4 linked regions of the Saccharomyces cerevisiae S288C genome follow. Changing the gene in region 2 together with the main gene of any one other region gives a genetic interaction. Each region holds a gene or a part of one and is shown on either strand. Other genes may lie near its edges. The genes, in order: YPT6, COG8, GYP1 and ARL1.

The links.
Region 1: mutations in COG8 (region 2) and YPT6 together harm fitness more than expected from each alone (negative genetic interaction), as found in Saccharomyces cerevisiae (5 studies listed by BioGRID, with this or other methods).
Region 3: mutations in COG8 (region 2) and GYP1 together harm fitness more than expected from each alone (negative genetic interaction), as found in Saccharomyces cerevisiae (6 studies listed by BioGRID, with this or other methods).
Region 4: mutations in COG8 (region 2) and ARL1 together harm fitness more than expected from each alone (negative genetic interaction), as found in Saccharomyces cerevisiae (6 studies listed by BioGRID, with this or other methods).

The regions. Positions count from the first base shown.
Region 1 is NC_001144.5:666,381-670,635, reverse strand, and holds YPT6 (Rab family GTPase YPT6), read left to right. Parts: upstream 1-1,744; coding exon 1,745-2,392; downstream 2,393-4,255. Other genes in the region: RED1 (Red1p), read right to left, coding at 1-296; TMA7 (Tma7p), read left to right, coding at 974-1,168; VPS63 (Vps63p), read left to right, coding at 2,073-2,399; sphinganine kinase LCB5, read right to left, coding at 2,729-4,255. UniProt on the Saccharomyces cerevisiae protein: Protein transport. Might participate in post-Golgi transport.
Region 2 is NC_001145.3:128,412-133,802, reverse strand, and holds COG8 (Golgi transport complex subunit COG8), read left to right. Parts: upstream 1-2,230; coding exon 2,231-4,054; downstream 4,055-5,391. Other genes in the region: DAK1 (dihydroxyacetone kinase), read right to left, coding at 1-328; TCB3 (Tcb3p), read left to right, coding at 4,436-5,391. UniProt on the Saccharomyces cerevisiae protein: Acts as a component of the peripheral membrane COG complex that is involved in intra-Golgi protein trafficking.
Region 3 is NC_001147.6:455,407-460,908, reverse strand, and holds GYP1 (GTPase-activating protein GYP1), read left to right. Parts: upstream 1-3,088; coding exon 3,089-5,002; downstream 5,003-5,502. Other genes in the region: NRT1 (nicotinamide riboside transporter), read left to right, coding at 1-1,429; VPS5 (sorting nexin 1), read right to left, coding at 5,114-5,502. UniProt on the Saccharomyces cerevisiae protein: GTPase-activating protein (GAP) that stimulates specifically the intrinsic GTPase activity of Ypt/Rab-type GTPases YPT1 and YPT7. Functions on the Golgi as a negative regulator of YPT1. Functions on the vacuole as a negative regulator of YPT7.
Region 4 is NC_001134.8:566,378-570,434, reverse strand, and holds ARL1 (Arf family GTPase ARL1), read left to right. Parts: upstream 1-2,008; coding exon 2,009-2,560; downstream 2,561-4,057. Other genes in the region: TYR1 (prephenate dehydrogenase (NADP(+))), read left to right, coding at 1-593; UBS1 (Ubs1p), read right to left, coding at 750-1,583; EXO5 (Exo5p), read right to left, coding at 2,955-4,057. UniProt on the Saccharomyces cerevisiae protein: Recruits golgins such as IMH1 to the Golgi. Can bind and hydrolyze GTP. May be involved in trafficking events within the endosomal system.

The sequences.
Region 1 (4,255 bases), on a different chromosome or scaffold from region 2:
GAGTCTTCGTCTATATTAATCTCAGAAGAAAATCTTAATTTTAAAATGAAATGCCAGATATCATCACTTGGAAGATTTGAATCGGTGATTTTAACGGCAACATTTATGATGTGAAATAACAACTCAAAATTTTGAATTACTTCTCTCTTTATTACTAGCAAATGGAGAAATTCCTGCAGTTGTTTAGAAGTTTCCAAAGTCATTAACCCATAGTGGATTCCTTTCGTTTCATTCCTAGTCTGTGCTAAGTCATTTTTCAGGCAAACACCAAAAATCTTTTTCTTCAAACCTTCCATTCTTATCACCGTATTTGCTGTCCCTTTGTGGTCCTCACTGATTAAAAAATCTTTGTTCTATTTTTCTTATTACCTTTAATGCTTCACGAATGATGTGAATGTTTTGCGAATGATGTGATTGAATCCATCTGATCCTGCTGCGAAATCGTAGTTTATTTAGCCGCTGAACCCTTTGAGCAAGTATTTATCGTTTTTAACGTTGAAAAAGTAGTCATATTCAAATTATATAAACCAGCCAATAATACGTTACTTTGCCTTTTTAGATCACACAATTAAGCGGATACAAGATCACCCATCATAAAGGGTTGGCAAACGCCATTGTTTTTGTCGAACCTTACCTGATATCTCCAGAAATCCAATGTATATCTTCTGTATGAAAATATGAATTGTGAGTGCACATGCCTTTTCTAACAGGGAAACCTGTTGTGATTTGTCATTGAATGTGATGAAAAGCTCCTCCAGTCGCCTCGGCTTGGCTTGGCTTGTCTTGGCTTTTTTGGTTTATTCTTTCTGTCCTGAGATAAAAATTGTAGTAAATCTATACTTCTGGAAGTTTCCCGCGACGAAAATGAACGAGGAAAATAAAAAATTTCATGTTTAAAATCCTGTAATTGATTGCTCTTCCACGCACAGTAAGTTGCAAAACCAGAAGAATAACTGAAAAACCCTAAGCAATCATGTCTAGTCGCCAAGGTGGTAAGATGAAGCCTCTAAAGCAAAAGAAGAAGCAACAACAGGACTTAGATCCTGAAGACATTGCCTTCAAAGAGAAGCAAAAGGCCGATGCTGCTGCTAAGAAAGCTTTGATGGCTAATATGAAAAGTGGTAAACCTTTAGTGGGTGGTGGTATCAAAAAATCTGGTAAGAAATAAAAGGCCTTTAACAACGTCTAATAAAAATTTACTCAGTATTTTCTAGTTCTCGTTTTTTAAGTAAATACATATATTACCAAAGAAAAGCTATTTGCAAGATATATCGTTCTTTCCGATGTTTTACAATCGTAATTACTATGTATAATGGTTACATCTAGCAAATTTGGAGGTTTCCTAAATAAAGCCCCTTGCGTGTCTCTCTAGAGGTACGAAAACAACTGATATATAATGGACCCTTTTCTATTGTGGTGACAGGCATAAGGATAAATATTTATAGATGGCTAAGGAAAATAAGAAAAATACTTCTCCCTATTCATGAACCGGGCATCTTGAGTAGAATAGGGTGCTTCTATTCGTTAGTGCTGGTATTAACTTCTAGTGAAAAATGGCCGAATAATTTCCGGGTAATAAAGCCTTCAGCACAGCTCAATTAGTGGAGGAAAATATTGCCCATATATAGATTGTTACTATGTATGATGTAAGAATATCACAATTGGGCACTTAAGGTTGTGTGAAAAGAAGTGTTTGAAGCTGTTGATTCTGAACAGTAAAAGATAAACAAAGAAGAGATTAACAATGAGCAGATCCGGGAAATCATTGACAAAGTACAAAATTGTTTTTTTGGGAGAACAGGGTGTTGGAAAAACATCGCTGATCACTAGATTTATGTATGATACGTTCGATGATCATTACCAAGCCACGATTGGTATAGATTTTCTTTCCAAGACCATGTATTTGGATGATAAGACAATTAGATTACAGTTATGGGATACAGCAGGTCAGGAAAGATTTAGATCATTAATACCTTCATATATCAGAGATTCGAGAGTTGCTATTATCGTTTACGACATTACGAAGAGAAAATCATTTGAATATATTGATAAATGGATAGAAGACGTTAAAAATGAAAGAGGTGACGAAAATGTTATATTGTGCATTGTTGGTAACAAAAGTGATTTATCAGATGAAAGGCAAATCTCAACCGAAGAGGGAGAGAAAAAAGCAAAACTATTGGGTGCTAAAATCTTTATGGAAACGTCCACAAAGGCAGGCTATAATGTCAAAGCTTTATTCAAAAAGATTGCCAAATCGCTGCCTGAATTTCAAAACAGCGAGTCAACTCCTTTGGATAGCGAAAATGCAAATAGTGCAAACCAAAATAAACCGGGAGTCATTGATATTTCTACAGCAGAGGAGCAGGAACAAAGCGCTTGTCAGTGTTAGCACCTAATATTTCAGTTCTATAGGGCATAAGGAGAACTCTTTGTGTGCGTCATATTTTTTAGTGAACTACCAGCACATAATAATTGTACTGATAATATTAATAATAATCATAATCATAATGTACTTGACGATCTGATGTGTAGGAGCTAGTACTCACTAAACATGGTTGTATTAAAGAATGGTATTAAAACTTTTTATAAAGAAGTATGGAGTGTATAAAGTTATCAAACAACAACAAAAACAACAACAACGTAAAAAAAATATAGAAGAAATAGAAATGACATATTCTAGTTTTTGATTAATTGTTCAGTACGAAGGAAAAGATTAAGTAAAGTGTCACATAGAATCGAAATCTGTGTCCACATAACGGCCATTTCTCAGTAACGTCTTGCATAAGCGTGGCATAATTTCGACTTGAAGGGGCTCTAGAGGAAATTTCTCGCCATCGACAGAGAACAAGCCGTTCCCTAGCTTTGGTATTATCTTGTATGCCAAAATTTTAGAGTGTAAGACTTCCGGTTGTAAAACATGGGAACCCTTATCTAGTCCCAGCAGGATTGGTGCCATCCTCGTCAACGAGGTTCTTGCATCGGTGATAACCATATCCATTGTACCATCTGAAGGAAGCGCTGCCGGAAAGAATTTAGTGTCAGCAGCCACATATGGCATTTTACCCGTATAGAAGATACCTAGGTTGTTCGAAATATTAGGATCCAATCTTTCCCAGTCACTAGGGATACCTTCATCTAATGGATATTTTATTTTGAAATCTTCCTCTTTAATTTGATCAGCACTAGAATCTGCCAGATCACGAGATATCAAGTGGGAGTCTTCGTCATCCGCATCCGCATCTTCATCTTCATCTTCGTTTTCGGTTTCGTATTCATTTTCGTAATTGTAATTATCACAATCCTCGTTATCTTTGTTCATAGTAATATGCTGGAATTCTAACGACCCTTTATTTTTGTGTTCCAGGTAATGATTTTTTAACTCGTTTTTTGATTTGGCAGCATACTTTACATATATCTCACAAGGATATTTTTTTTTTTGTATGATATTGAAGGCTACACCCAATTCAAACCTTGCAGGTCCCATCCATCTAATAAATTCAGTGTTTATGTCAGTTTCTGCAATGAGACCATATGTTTGACTTAAAAATGATAACTTTGGGTGCTCTCTTGCATAAGAAGGCTGCGAACAACACATCAAATCAATTCTAGTCTCTATCGATTTAATTAAGCATAAAGTTGAGTACGAAGGATTGTTTGTCCAGTGGCAGGATACGCTCATTGCGTTACCTGATCCGCATGGAATTTCTGTAATGGCGATATTGTTGAATGCTTTGACATGATCAGGCCTTTGGTATAACCCATTGATCACCTCATGAGGAATGCCATCTCCCGAAGCGCAAGCAATAGTGTCATATTTGTCAATATCCATTTCCCGCGCGATCTCTATAGCATGACCAGGGTATTTTGTATAAACCACTTCTATGGAACACCGACTTGCTAATAGTAACGGCTTTGCCTTTGTCATAAACAGTTTTTTCGCCTTACCTTTACCACCAAACGGATTAATGATCACAAATATGGATTTGTTCCTTCTAGTGTTTTTGTAGCTTCTCTTTAAAATCTCCTCAACCAAGTCATCTTCTTCTTTTAAGTGAGAAGATGAATGGGGTTTATAGTCAATATACAATGAAACCCTTTTGGGTACAACGTCATGCCGTCTTGGCCTAGCAAATATAACCTCTACTAGTTTCGTAAAAGGAGATCTGGAAGTCAGGAGGCTACTACTACTGTTACTTCCTCGCGATAGCGAGTTGCCCTTCCTTTCTTTTTTTTGGGAAGACTCTAATTCATC
Region 2 (5,391 bases):
AAACATCACCTGTGTAGTTCTTCACAATCAATAAAACGCCAGACGCATTTTCATTGACTAAACGGATTGCATTTAAAATCTGTTTTGTTGAAGGGGATGCAAAAATTTCGCCAACCACGGCGCCACTCAACATACCCTTACCAATGAAACCGGCGTGTGTAGGTTCATGTCCACTACCACCACCAGAAATTAATGCGATCTTGTCGGAATCGGTCTTTCTGAAGAGAATTTTTTCTTCAGGGACCAGCGTAATGGAGGGGTTAGCAAGGGCAAACCCTTTGAGACTTGAATTGACTGGATCTGTGACTTCAAACGATTTAGCGGACATTTAAAATTTAGTCTTAGATATAGAATGTAATCTTATTCTTTGATGTGTTCGTTTACAGTTGCTACAAATAGTGACTACTTGTAGCGAAGTTGAAGTGATTTTCTCCTTATATATTTATTCATCAGTTAGTTCGACAGACGCTCGCGAGGTGGCCACTCTTTCAAAATGACGCAATTGGGAGTGGTTTGATCTTTCTCCCTTAGAAGCCAAATTGGCAAGCACTCACTCCGGGCCAGATTTACACCATGTTTGTAGCGCATTTAAATCAGGAAATGCATTATATTTCACTCTCTCGTCTAGCGAGTCTTAATGTTCATGACGGGGGAGCTTTATGCCTTGTTTTTTATCACAGCGCCAGACAATTGACAGTAACAAATAAAGGCAAAAAACCCTTGAATAGCACCAGAGGTGTTTACTGATTGCTTTTAAAGTACGTATAAAACTGTAAAATATAGATTAAATTCGACCGCCATTACTTTAGAGTTGAAATTGGGAAGCCGTATATTGCCATTTCAGCCATGCTTCTATGGTTCCTAATGGAAGCATGAATGACATACGCAATTTGATGAGCTTGAAAAGGGCGTAATTGACAAGCCAGATTTGAATCTAATCCCTTGAGAAATTATCTGCAAGTAGTAAAAAAATCTCTAAAAGATGTATAATTGAGTCGCCTAGAGACCTCATTCATCATGATATTTGACACCTTAATTTTGATAGTAGCGGGTCAGTCATTAAGAAGAAAGTGAGCTGGGGCTAATCATCAACGATCTCCCATAATTACGTACGTCAAAGACAACACGTTGGCAAAGGTAAGAAGAACGTAGTGCGTATCATGCTTACGGTGAATTTCACCCTTTTTTTCTGTTATTCGTGCTGATCCACGGGGTATTCAATTGAAGATATTATCTTTATCATCATATCGGTAAGCGTCTGGGAGAAGCAACTGGTCAAACGTTTTCAAAAACCATTCTTTAAACAACAAACCGATCAATGTTCTTGATCAGCTTATCAATCTATCCGATCTCCTGCGTTCAGCGTGACCGCCACACTTATGTCTAGATAATTTAACTTCCAGTTGCTAATTTCCCGCTAAAGTATCTTATGTTTACCATCACTGTAGCCGCCCTATCATATGCAACACTTCCATACTCATTTTCGGAATAAGAAGCAACTATCATCTAACGACTAGTATTTATATTACTGGTATATTACCATATTGGGTATAAGACGGTCAAATAAATATTGAGAAACAGTCACCAATTTTAATGGAAATTGAAATGAAAGGGTTGATAATGTGCTAGGAAAATGAACGAGAACATACAAAATGAAAGAAGAAATAATAATATTCCTACACAGAAATATCGGTTCTCTATTGTGGATTTTCATATTCTCGAGGAGAACCTCTAGTACATTTTGTGTATCTGGTATCACAGCGCTTGACAACTATAGAATTTAAACAATTATCTCATTCTTCATCCATCACTCAATCATATATATTAACCCCGGAAAAGTGCATTTTTGGTTTCTAATAACATTTGTATTAGTAATATTTGTTTACCCAACAATTCAAGAAATTTAGCTCGCGTGGCGTAATGGCAACGCGTCTGACTTCTAATCAGAAGATTATGGGTTCGACCCCCATCGTGAGTGCTTTGTTTCTTCTTTTTTGAATATGCTAATTCTAAATTTATAGGAAGAGTTGGATTTTCCTTTAGTTAGTTGTACTCTTGAAGTCCATTTTCTTTTTATACGTACATTAGATCGATCTCGCGATCATGGCTTCAATGTCTAAAAATATAGCGTAGTAACATACTGAAAAGAGAAGCACAGAAAAAATAATCATAGAAGTGTTAGGACATTTGAGGGAACATATTTCAACAATAAACATAATCATTGAGTAAAATGGAGCTGATACTAAACAGCCTCATTTCTGATGATTTAACAGAGGAACAAAAACGGTTAAGTCTTGATTTCCTACAGGATATCCTACAATCTAACACGAAAGACTATGAAAGTTATTTTTCATCTAGGGCTGTTCCTGGTAGCATAACTGAAGACATAGCAGAAATTGATGCTGAATTATCTGCCCTTGATAGAAAGATAAGGAAAACACTACTAGATAATACGTCTCAGATTATCGGAAATATTCTTGAAAACGATGATAGGGCTCAATTGGATGATATAGCCAAGTCTTTGGAGCAATTATGGGAATTGGATACTAATATTAATAAGGCAGCCGATCGAAACGTTACAAATGACGATATAAACAATGAAAGCGTTTCTATTGATGACTTTTTGGAAGACGATAAAGAAGACAACGACACAGGTCGCATCATGACGACTGAGAGTAACAATCTGGCAAGAAAGAAGAAGGAGGATGAGTTTCACAAGGCATTAAGTAGGTTAAGAAACAGAATTTCAACTAAAGAAGATGACAAGGACGACATTAGATCTGACACATTAGTCACTGTACTAGAAAATTTGGATAGCATTACGGATTTGATGGAACTACCATTTTTGGCCCGCACATGTATCAGAACAGGTCATTACCAGGAGGCCGTCATGCTATACACACACACTACTTCCCTGAGGTCAAGATTCCCTGGTTCAACCATTGTGGATGAAGTTTGCGAAAAAGTTTTAAACGAAATTAGTACTACCATGTTATCCGGGCTGGTAAAATTACTGTCTACTAATGTATCAGTAAACTCACTAAAGAAAATACTACAGTACTTGAATTCAATTCCACCATTTGATGGAAAGACTAATAAATCATTATTAAGTGTGTTTTTAGCCATGAGATACAAATTCATTACCGATGAAATAGCATCATATCCTTTGGACGTTGAGTCTTCTAATGAATCTTTAATTGAAATGATGGTTAAGAGGAAAATTGAAGTCCTCAGGGAACATGTCTACATGTCCTTGAATGTCTTTCTGAAAAGCTTCTTGTATGATACAAATGACTTAGAGATTCCTTTCCCAGAGGAACTAGAAAGTACTGTGCTAAGGATAAATGGGACTAACGAAGAGAAAGAAATTGAAGAAAAGGAGAAAGAAACAAAGAAGGAAGAATATCAAAAACAAGATAGCGTAGCGAACAATGAAGAAGATGTGACAGAAAATAAATCGATAGAAGATGTACAAGAGGAAGTACAAGGCAAAGTGGAAGGCGAAGATGATGGAGCAGAAAGGAAAACAGAAAATGAGATAGAAAATGAAACAGTAAACAAAACAGAAGACAAGGCTGAAAAAGAAAAAGAGGAAGAAGTAAATACCAAAGATAACAAGGCAGAAAAAGAGGAAGAAGAAATTAATAAGGTTGAGGTGACCCCAGAAGAGCCAAGCAAAAGCATAGATAACAAGGCAGAAAAAGAAGAAGAAGAAATTAATAAGGTTGAAGTGACCCCAGAGGAGCCAAGCAAAAAGATTCGGACTTCAAAAAGGGAAAACAAAATACCTACAAATGCAGTCATGTTGCAATTCGTTGATAAGTGCATAACATACGTATTAAAAGACCTCACTCGTGGGTTAAATAGCATCAAGCTGAGTGACTCCGTTTGCCTGCAGTTGGTGTACTGTTCATTCCGTCTTTGCGACCTGAATCGAAACTACCACCACCTCTTCCTAAAAAAAATCAATGACACTAGCTTGTTTACGACCGAGCAGCTCGCCCGGGCAATTGACAAGAGAGCAGAACTGGCCTCTAAATATATATACTCCTAGTATAATATTGGCTCACTATGTATTTTCAAAATGACGATCGTCCGAAATTTCCATTTTTTTATTTTTTTTTTTCACTTCTTCGCCAGCGCGAGAAGGGGGAGAAACAACAATACGAGAATGTATGTATACCTTTACAACACACTGCTGCAGTCAGAAAGGGAAAAAGGGATAATTGTACCTTACATCCTTTAGAATTGCACTTACCTTTTCCAATTGCGATACATTTCACTTTGATAGACAACTTTGCTTTTTAGCGTTACTTAATTTAATCAGTTTTCTTCTTAACAATATAAAGAGCATCATTAGCTAGCTTTGTTTATTGACATACGCAATATTGCTAGAAAGAAAATAAGTAGAGCTACGCATTGAAAGTCAAGAAAAATGACTGGCATCAAAGCTCAAGTCCATCCCCCACCTGATAGTACCCTATTTCATGAGGAGGAGAAGAAGAAAGTAGGAGGCAATTTACCTCAAAAGGTCATAAATCAACAAGAAAGGGGTTCTGATCACGCTCCATCGGGTCACCATCAATACCACCAACTGATTAACCATGACGCAAATGACACAAAGACCTCAAATTCAGTTTCTGATGTGTCTAAAGGTCAGAAAACTGCTGACTCCAACCCGGAAGGTAAGAAACAGTCATCAAAAGACATATTTGTTGCCTCCAGCGCTCAAAAAACCAATCAATTGCCCGGTCCCAACCCACAGGGAAGCATAGGAGCCGTGCCATTGGAAGGTTTACGTCCGAAGGAATTCAGATCAGCACCATCTAGGAAGCCAAATAAATTCGACACTTCGATTACTAAGCCTGGCGTCTTAGACGACTTAGGCAAACTTGATGAAAAGGATATTAAGGAAAAATTTCACCTAGATTCCGACGACAAGTTATTTCCATGGCAAAATGTTGGTGAGTTCCATGCTTCAGGAAAGGGTTCGCCAAATACAAAGATGTCCAGGGTTATAAAAGCTTACATTCTGGAAAATTTTTATAACGATTGGTACTGTAATATAGCCACCGTTCTTGGAACTTGTTTCTTCTCATGGTTATTTGCTTACATTGGGTTTTCATGGTGGTCTATGATATTTATCTTCTTGGGAACTGCGACCGTTTACAACGCAGAATATACAAGATTCAACAGAAATATCAGAGATGACTTGAAAAGAGTTACAGTCGAAGAAACCTTGTCGGATCGCGTTGAATCCACTACGTGGTTGAATTCATTTTTATCAAAATTTTGGGTGATTTACATGCCAGTTTTATCTCAACAAGTCAAAGATAACGTTAACCCTCAACTGGCAGGTGTTGCTCCAGGTTACGGTATCGATGCGTTAGC
Region 3 (5,502 bases), on a different chromosome or scaffold from region 2:
CATCATTAGAATTTTGATGAGTATTGTCAATTATGGTTCCAACGCTTGGTTGGGTGGTCTATCTATCAACATGATATTAGATTCCTGGTCCCACCACTATCTGCACCTGCCCAATACTTTGTCCCCAAGTGTTGCCATGACCACCAAGCAGTTGGTCGGCTTCATTATTTTCCACGTCCTCACCGCGCTCTGCTATTTCATGAAACCCTACCATATGAACTACCTTTTAATTTGGTCATGTGTAGCTACTTGCTTTGCCATGCTGGGTATAGTGATTTACTTGACTAAGAATGCCCATGGTGTCGGTGAATTGTTTACCTCCACAAAATCTACCGTTACTGGTTCTAAAAGAGCATGGGCTTGGGTTTACATGATTTCATACTGGTTCGGTTCCATTTCTCCAGGTTCCACCAACCAAAGTGACTATTCAAGATTCGGTTCCTCCAATTTGGCTATCTGGACCGGTAGCGTCTGTGCATTACTAATCCCAGCAACCTTGGTCCCAATCTTCGGTGTCATTAGTGCCTCCACCTGCGACAAATTATACGGTAAACAATTTTGGATGCCCATGGATATATTCGATTATTGGTTGACAAACAACTATTCTGCAGGCGCTCGCGCAGGTGCCTTCTTCTGTGGTCTTTGCTTTACCATGTCTCAAATGTCCTCCACCATCTCCAACTGTGGGTTTGCCACTGGTATGGATATGGCCGGTTTGTTGCCCAAATACGTCGATATCAAGAGAGGTGCTCTTTTTTGCGCATGTATCTCCTGGGCTTGTTTGCCATGGAACTTCTACAACTCTTCTTCTACTTTCTTAACTGTCATGAGTTCTTTCGGTGTTGTCATGACTCCTATTATTGCTGTCATGATCTGTGATAACTTTCTGATCAGGAAGAGGCAATATTCCATTACTAATGCCTTTATTCTAAAGGGTGAATACTATTTTACCAAGGGTGTCAACTGGAGAGCTATCGTTGCCTGGGTGTGTGGTATGGCTCCCGGTCTACCTGGTATCGCTTGGGAAGTCAACAATAACTATTTCCACGACTCAGGTATTGTTAAATTCTTTTATGGTGATTCTTTCTTCTCCTTTTTGATTTCTTTTTTCGTTTACTGGGGGCTATGTGTCTTCTTCCCATTCAAAATTACTGTTAGACATGATGACAAAGATTACTATGGTGCATTTACCGACGAAGAAGCGAGAAAGAAGGGCATGATTCCATACAGTGAAATTTCTGAGGAAGAAATCCGTGCTTACACGTTAGGCGAATGCTACACAACTGGACACGAATACAAACCTGAGAGTTCTGATAACGAATCACCTGAATTGATCAAAACTAGCTCAGAAAACACTAACGTATTTGAAATCGTTCACCAAAAGGATGATGAAAAGCACTCCTTTAGTACCACTCAACAAGTTGTCTGATGACAAAGAATCCGATAAAATGAAGATCTCAAATATACAAAGAGGAAACTTCAACGCTTCATTTGAAAATCTGTACAGATCTTACAATTTGGGAATACTACCAGATCGATCCTCAGCTGCAAATACTTTACTGTCAAGTATGTCTATGGTGACAAATATCGGCATTATTGTGTATGGCTCAATAATTTTATAAAAAAAGGAACTATTGGTTCTTAGTATTTTCTTGCTAGAAGACATATTCTTACCAATCCTTTCATAAGCTAATTATGCCATCCATATAGCAAGAGAATCCGGTGGGGGCGCCATGCCTATCCGGCGGCAACATTATTACTCTGGTATACGGGCGTAACTCCATAATATGCCACCACTTACCTTTAACATGTTCATGGTAGGTACCCCACCCAGCCATAAGGAAATTTTCAAAGGCGTTGGATCAAAAAATAGGCCTTTATTTCATCGCGTGATTGAGGAGCATAACATGTTTAGTGAAGGTTTCTTTTGGAAAACTTCAGTCGCTCATTATTAGAACCAGGGAGGTCCAGGCTTTGCTGGTGGGAGAGAAAGCTTATGAAGCTGGGGTTGCAGATTTGTCGATTGGTCGCCAGTACACAGTTTTAAAAAGTCAGAGAATGTAGAGAAGTATGGATCTTTGAAACCCTTTTATTTTATTTTACTTTTTTTAGAATGACCTGTTCCCGACACTATGTAAGATCTAGCTTTTAACATATTATGGAAACCTGAAATGTAAAATCTGAATTTTTGTATATGTGTTTATATTTGGGTAGTTCTTTTGAGGAAAGCATGCATAGACTTGCTGTACGAACTTTATGTGACTTGTAGTGACGCTGTTTCATGAGACTTTAGCCCTTTGAACATATTATCATATCTCAGCTTGAAATACTATAGATTTACTTTTGCAGCCATTTCTTGGTGCTCCAAGGTTGTGCGTATCTATTACTTAATTTCTGTCCTTGCCAAGTTTTGCAGCAGGGCGGTCACAAGACTCCTCTGCCGTCATTCCTTAGTCCTTCGGGAACACACTTATTTATGTATTTGTATTCTACAATTCTACGGTGCACAAGGGTTGGGCACTGTTGAGCTCAGCACGCAACTATTGCTGGCATGAAGATAAGATTGATTTTTGGAAGAATAAGCTTGTGGAAGTTACCTGTCTCTTATTTTTTTTTCCTTTTTGCACTTTTTTTTGGTGATCACTTAGGTAACAATCTATAACACAGCAGTATGAACCCACTAGTTAACCATTCTGCGCCGATGGTATACCTTTTTCATTGCTTAATTGTCTGTGAGAGGCTTGATAAGCTAAGGCTCATGGCGATAAATCCACGATGAACTCGTTTAATGCAAAATATAGGTCGCGGCTTGCCGGGTACCAAGTCGCAACAAAGCTCCCCGAATTGTTTCGCCCATTCATCTGACAGGACAGAATGCCAAACATATGATGCATGATGCAGCAAAGAGCACAGTAATCACTATTTTCTGCATATCATATAGCCAGATTGCTATAGTGTTTGGCTTTTGTCCTGCTGTTAATTGTTTTGTTTTCTTTCTATTTTTATAACTATTATTGGAGAGTAGATCAAGGATACAAATAACAACAACAACCACCAATACCGACCACTTAATAAAAGTAACCATATAATGGGTGTGAGATCCGCTGCAAAGGAAATGCACGAACGGGACCATAATTCGGACAGTTCCAGTTTAGTAACTTCCCTGATGAAATCTTGGAGGATATCGTCGGCTTCTTCCTCCAAGAAGCCATCGTTATACAAAATGAATACTACTGAATCTACTAGTTTACCCTCGGGTTATGCTTCCTCGGCAGATAGAGATCGGAGAACCAGTGACGGTAATTTTGAAGCTATGGCAAAGCAACAAGCAAGCACTAGACGTACCTCGAATTCCTATTCACCTCTACGATATGTAAACCCCACTCTAAGCACTGCAAGTAACGAAAGTCCCCGGCCTGCTTTACTCTTACGTCAGCATCACCAGCGTCATCACCACCATCAACAACCCCGCCATAGCAGTAGTGGTAGTGTAGGCAACAATTGCAGTAACAGTACAGAGCCTAACAAAAAGGGTGATCGATATTTCAAAGACTTAGATGAGGATTGGAGTGCTGTTATTGACGATTATAATATGCCTATTCCTATACTTACTAACGGTGGATTTGGTACACCTGTAGCTCCAACGAGAACTTTGTCGCGAAAATCCACTTCTTCTTCCATCAATTCGATTTCGAATATGGGGACCTCCGCAGTACGGAATTCTTCCTCCTCTTTTACATACCCTCAATTACCACAGCTGCAAAAAGAGAAAACAAATGATTCCAAGAAAACTCAGTTGGAAATCGAAAACGAACGGGATGTTCAAGAATTAAACTCCATCATCCAGCGCATTTCTAAATTTGACAATATTTTGAAAGATAAGACAATCATAAATCAACAGGATCTGCGCCAGATCAGTTGGAATGGTATCCCAAAAATACACAGGCCTGTTGTTTGGAAATTATTAATAGGTTATTTGCCTGTGAACACCAAGAGACAGGAGGGTTTCTTACAAAGGAAGAGGAAAGAATATAGGGATAGTCTGAAACATACCTTTTCTGACCAGCACTCAAGAGATATCCCAACTTGGCATCAGATAGAGATAGATATACCGAGAACAAATCCCCACATTCCCCTCTACCAGTTCAAATCCGTACAGAACAGTTTACAACGAATACTATATCTTTGGGCAATCAGGCATCCTGCTAGCGGATATGTGCAAGGTATTAATGATTTAGTTACACCATTTTTCGAGACTTTTCTTACCGAATATCTGCCGCCTTCACAAATAGATGATGTAGAGATAAAGGACCCCTCTACTTATATGGTAGATGAACAGATTACAGATTTAGAAGCGGACACGTTTTGGTGTCTTACCAAATTGCTCGAACAAATTACCGATAACTATATTCACGGACAACCAGGCATATTAAGACAAGTGAAGAATTTGAGTCAGCTAGTGAAACGAATTGATGCTGATCTATATAACCATTTTCAAAATGAACATGTGGAGTTTATACAGTTTGCATTCAGATGGATGAATTGCCTTTTGATGAGAGAATTTCAAATGGGTACAGTAATAAGGATGTGGGACACATATTTATCTGAAACTTCACAAGAGGTCACTTCTTCTTATTCTATGTCGTCCAATGACATTAAACCTCCTGTTACTCCAACAGAACCTCGAGTGGCAAGTTTTGTTACACCAACAAAAGATTTCCAATCTCCCACCACAGCTCTTTCTAATATGACACCAAACAATGCTGTTGAAGACAGTGGAAAAATGAGACAGTCTTCGTTGAATGAGTTTCATGTGTTTGTTTGTGCTGCATTCCTCATCAAGTGGAGTGACCAGCTAATGGAAATGGATTTCCAAGAAACTATAACTTTCTTACAGAACCCTCCTACAAAGGACTGGACTGAAACGGATATTGAAATGCTTCTGAGCGAAGCCTTTATTTGGCAATCTCTTTACAAAGATGCTACGTCGCACTGGCTGTAAACGGACCTATTCATTTTACTTACTGTATAGTATGTAATAATATAAAACAAAAATCTCCTAATTCATAAATCCTGAGGAACGTGACACATAAAGTTATTGTATACAGATCATCTAAAGATTGGTTTGGTAGAATGTCTCCCAAAGCTCGATGCATTCTTTTTGAGATTCAATGGCCGCTTCTAGTGATATTTCCATGCCGTTTCGGAATTCCCGAATTTTATCAGTAGAGAAACCTTGGAATTCATCTTTTATTTTATCTCCTACCGCTTGCCATTGTTTTTTTGTAAGGTTATACCTTCTCTCCAATGTTTGAAATTCCTTTCTCATTTCTCTGAATTTTTCTGAATGAATATTTTGACCCAATTTGCCCAATTGTGAGTGTTTCTTATTCATGTCATTTTCTATTACTACCAAGAAATACCCCAATTTGGATCTCTGATTGAAAATTGCTTTTACGCTTGCCAATGACCTAATATAGTCGTCCAGCATCACACCCATCG
Region 4 (4,057 bases), on a different chromosome or scaffold from region 2:
ATGCAACCAGTGCAACAGAACTATTTAGTTTAATGATAGATAACAAAGAACAAGAACTTACTGATAGACTATTAAAAGCTAAGCAATTTGTATTTGGAAAGCATACTGGTCTCTTACTATTGGATGACACGATTTTAGAGAAATATTCGCTATCAAAAAGCAGCATTGGTAACAGCAACAATTGCAAGCCAGTGCCGAATTCACATTTATCATTGTTGGCGATTGTTGATTCGTGGTTTCAACTTGGTATTGATCCATATGATCATATGATTTGTTCGACGCCATTATTCAGAATATTCCTGGGTGTGTCCGAATATCTTTTTTTAAAACCTGGCTTATTAGAACAGACAATTGATGCAGCTATCCATGATAAATCATTCATAAAAGATGATTTAGAATTTGTTATTTCGGCTAGAGAATGGAGCTCGGTTGTTTCTTTTGCCAATTTTGATATATACAAAAAGCAATTTCAGAGTGTTCAAAAGTTCTTTGAGCCAATGCTTCCAGAGGCTAATCTCATTGGCAACGAGATGATAAAAACCATTCTGAGTCATTCTAGTGACCGTTCGGCCGCTGAAAAAAGAAATACATAATGTTTTTAATGCTGATTTCCTATAATATTAGGCCTTCTTTTGTGAAAAGGAGTATATTTATATAACTGAATAAAAATATATATTGTGACAAATGCCCATGCAAAAAATCGTGAAAAAAGGAAGAAAGTTCTACTATTCTATGTAAAAATAAACCCATTAGATTTTTTTCCTCTTTGTGTAATGCTCACTACCGCGATTATCGTTCGTTTCATCTGGACATGCCAACGTTCTTGACCTTTTAGAACTTACGACCGGATGAATACTGTCATCATCACATGCAAGTAAGTTTTTGGTCATAAAGTCGATAGCATTGTAGTCATGTGTCCTTTTGTTAACGTTATTATTGTTGAGAGTAGATAACATACTAGACTTTCCTATGCTGCTGTTAGTATAAGGGTTCTTGCTGTTGTCTTGTGCGTGAAAGGTGTGGCTTTGAGCATTGTAAGAGGACATAAATTCATTGACACTGCCACCATTACTATTGCTGATATTATGATTTTTGGAATAGCTCTTTACTATAGAGTAATCACCTGGTTGTAAAGTACCTATCAGTTCCGGAAAATAAGATTTAAAGTCCTTATATATAATCCTATTCCACGCCCTGTTGAATTTTACCGTTGACGGTGAATACTGTAAGTCTTCCGTTGCTTGAATATGAAAAAGCGGTTGCCATATGTGGAAAAGTAAATCCTGTAATCCCAAGTCTTTCAATAAAAGATAGTTTAAGTGTGTCATCGAAACCGTTCTGTTAATTGGAAAGCAACAATTTGGAGACAGACATTTCATGATGATATATGGATCCTGGTCGTTTCCGCCAATATAAAGTAGTAGATATACTTCCAAAGAAGTCCTGGGCTCGTACATTACCACGTGCCAAAGATGTAAGTCTGAATCATGTGGCCTTACATGAAAAAGACCTTGGGTCTTCTCAGGATGGCGCATAAAATATTTCCAATCCTTCAGCAATTTCCTTGTTAAAGAGTAAGCCATAATTATTAGCTTTTTGATTAAAATATAAAAAAATCTGTTTAGCTCTTATATCGCCTCCTCGCACAAAATCACGACAAAGGCAACGTTAGATTGATGCTCTCAAAACATACTAAGAATGTGTTCTATGATATATATGGGAAGAGTAGGTTAAATATTTCTTATGACAATAACAAAACCCACTGCATCGTACAGGACGGGTAACAGAGCCCTTTCCAATTGAAATTTTGAATAAAACTATTTTGCCTATAAAAGTTAGATTTACGACAATTAATATTAGGCAGAATGTTCTCGGAACTTTCAAGTAGTAAAGGATTGCGTGGTTCATTTGTATTTACGAAACGGTGAGTAATAAGGTTTCTAAAACCAAAGGAAAAATAAAGAAAGATCTAAGAAGAAAGTTCCAGTAAAGTGAGTTATAGATCAAGATGGGTAACATTTTTAGTTCAATGTTTGACAAACTATGGGGTTCAAACAAAGAATTGCGTATATTGATTTTGGGTTTGGATGGTGCAGGTAAAACTACCATCTTATATCGTTTACAAATTGGCGAAGTAGTCACTACAAAGCCAACCATTGGTTTCAATGTAGAGACGCTAAGTTATAAAAACTTAAAATTGAACGTCTGGGATCTTGGTGGTCAAACAAGTATCAGGCCCTACTGGAGGTGTTATTATGCAGACACTGCTGCAGTTATTTTCGTTGTTGATTCGACTGATAAAGATCGTATGTCTACAGCCTCTAAGGAACTTCATTTGATGTTACAGGAAGAAGAATTGCAAGATGCAGCACTGCTGGTTTTTGCAAATAAACAAGACCAACCGGGTGCATTAAGTGCCAGTGAAGTCTCCAAAGAACTGAATCTTGTAGAATTGAAGGACAGAAGTTGGTCTATCGTAGCATCCAGTGCAATTAAAGGCGAAGGTATTACCGAAGGTTTAGATTGGTTGATTGATGTTATAAAAGAGGAACAGTTATAGCGATAAAGATTTGCAAAAAAAAAGTGTAGATGCATACTTTTTAAATGGCATTGAATATACATATAATTTGTTTTGTAACTGAATTATCAAGGAGCTCTATCCAAACATAATAGAGTTAGTAAGTGTATACATGTTTCTCTTTGGGTTTTAATTCTAAAGGCAATTACATCGTTCCGATGAATGAGAAGGCCGCATTAAAATACCTAATGACCTCTTAATGAAAGTTGCATATATACATTTAAATTAAATTGTCATTTCAATTCCGATTTATTGAAACAGGACGTCCGAAAGCAGAAACAGATTTATGTGCTTAATAACCCAATAAAGGACTTCAATGTATTCACGAAACAACACCCTTTTAATAACTAGAATAAATAATGTTACAATACCTACACTACTTCATACTTGATTCAAGAATAATTTTTTTTAATTCTTTCCCTAGATCAATAAGTTTCAATTCATTTTTATTTTTCCAAGAACAAACGTGTCTGTAGTCACAAAACTTACAGTATGTGTTGAAGTTTTTTTGAGTAGGCTCAATTGGATGCATATCTCTGCCACCAAACCAAACCATTGCAGAATCATGGGCATGGGTTCCCAGTTTCAAGGGATCATATGGGAAGATGATATTGTGGAAATTATCGTTATGGTAATAATATTCTATCATTAAATCATTCGAAACGAGATTACCCACAATAAAATAGATCTGTGATAACCTTGCCGCAAAGTATTTCAAAGTTAGAGGTGTCTTCCATTTCGTATAAAAATGTCCATAATCTCGCAAAGATACACATTTTGTTGACTCCGAACTATCTTCGTCTTGCTCAATCGGAACGTTAAAAGATGTGGGACCTCTATCCAGCAAATCATTGAACGCGGTCATATCAAATGTATTAGAGCCTTTGGCGTCGTTATCGAAAGCAGAATGATTTATCGGTAGTCCGTACAGGAGGTTCTTCACATCATTAGCGAAGAGTGGGTTTGTTAGTATGAATGTTAAAATCTTGGTAGGATTTATGGGCGCATCAACGTCGAGTCCTCTTCTCTGGGCATTGATTAAAAAGCTATGGTAGGTTTGTGTCATGTCTTGACTAAGGTGGGAAAAAAAAAACTTATAATACATTGTCTGTAATTTAGAGGATTCTATAACGGACTCAATAGATGGTATTTTTGGTACTGACCTAGTTTTGATATCAGAGATAACAATCTCGTTATTCGACTTCAGTTCTTTTAGATTTGATAGTAAATTAGTGAGGATATTACCCCAGCTCTGATATTCCGTATCAAGATGAGCTGCACCTTTCTGTACTTGATGATTGTGCCTATTTCTAAGAGTTAAGTGGTCAATAACACCTGATATAATCACATTTTCCTTTGTCTTGCTATCACTGTTCAGCAAATGCTCCACCAGTTTGCCATCTTCTAAGTTAATGAAGCCATGACAAACTATTTCTCTTGCATGACCGTCACCTTTGGTGAATAAAGAGACCAATCTAT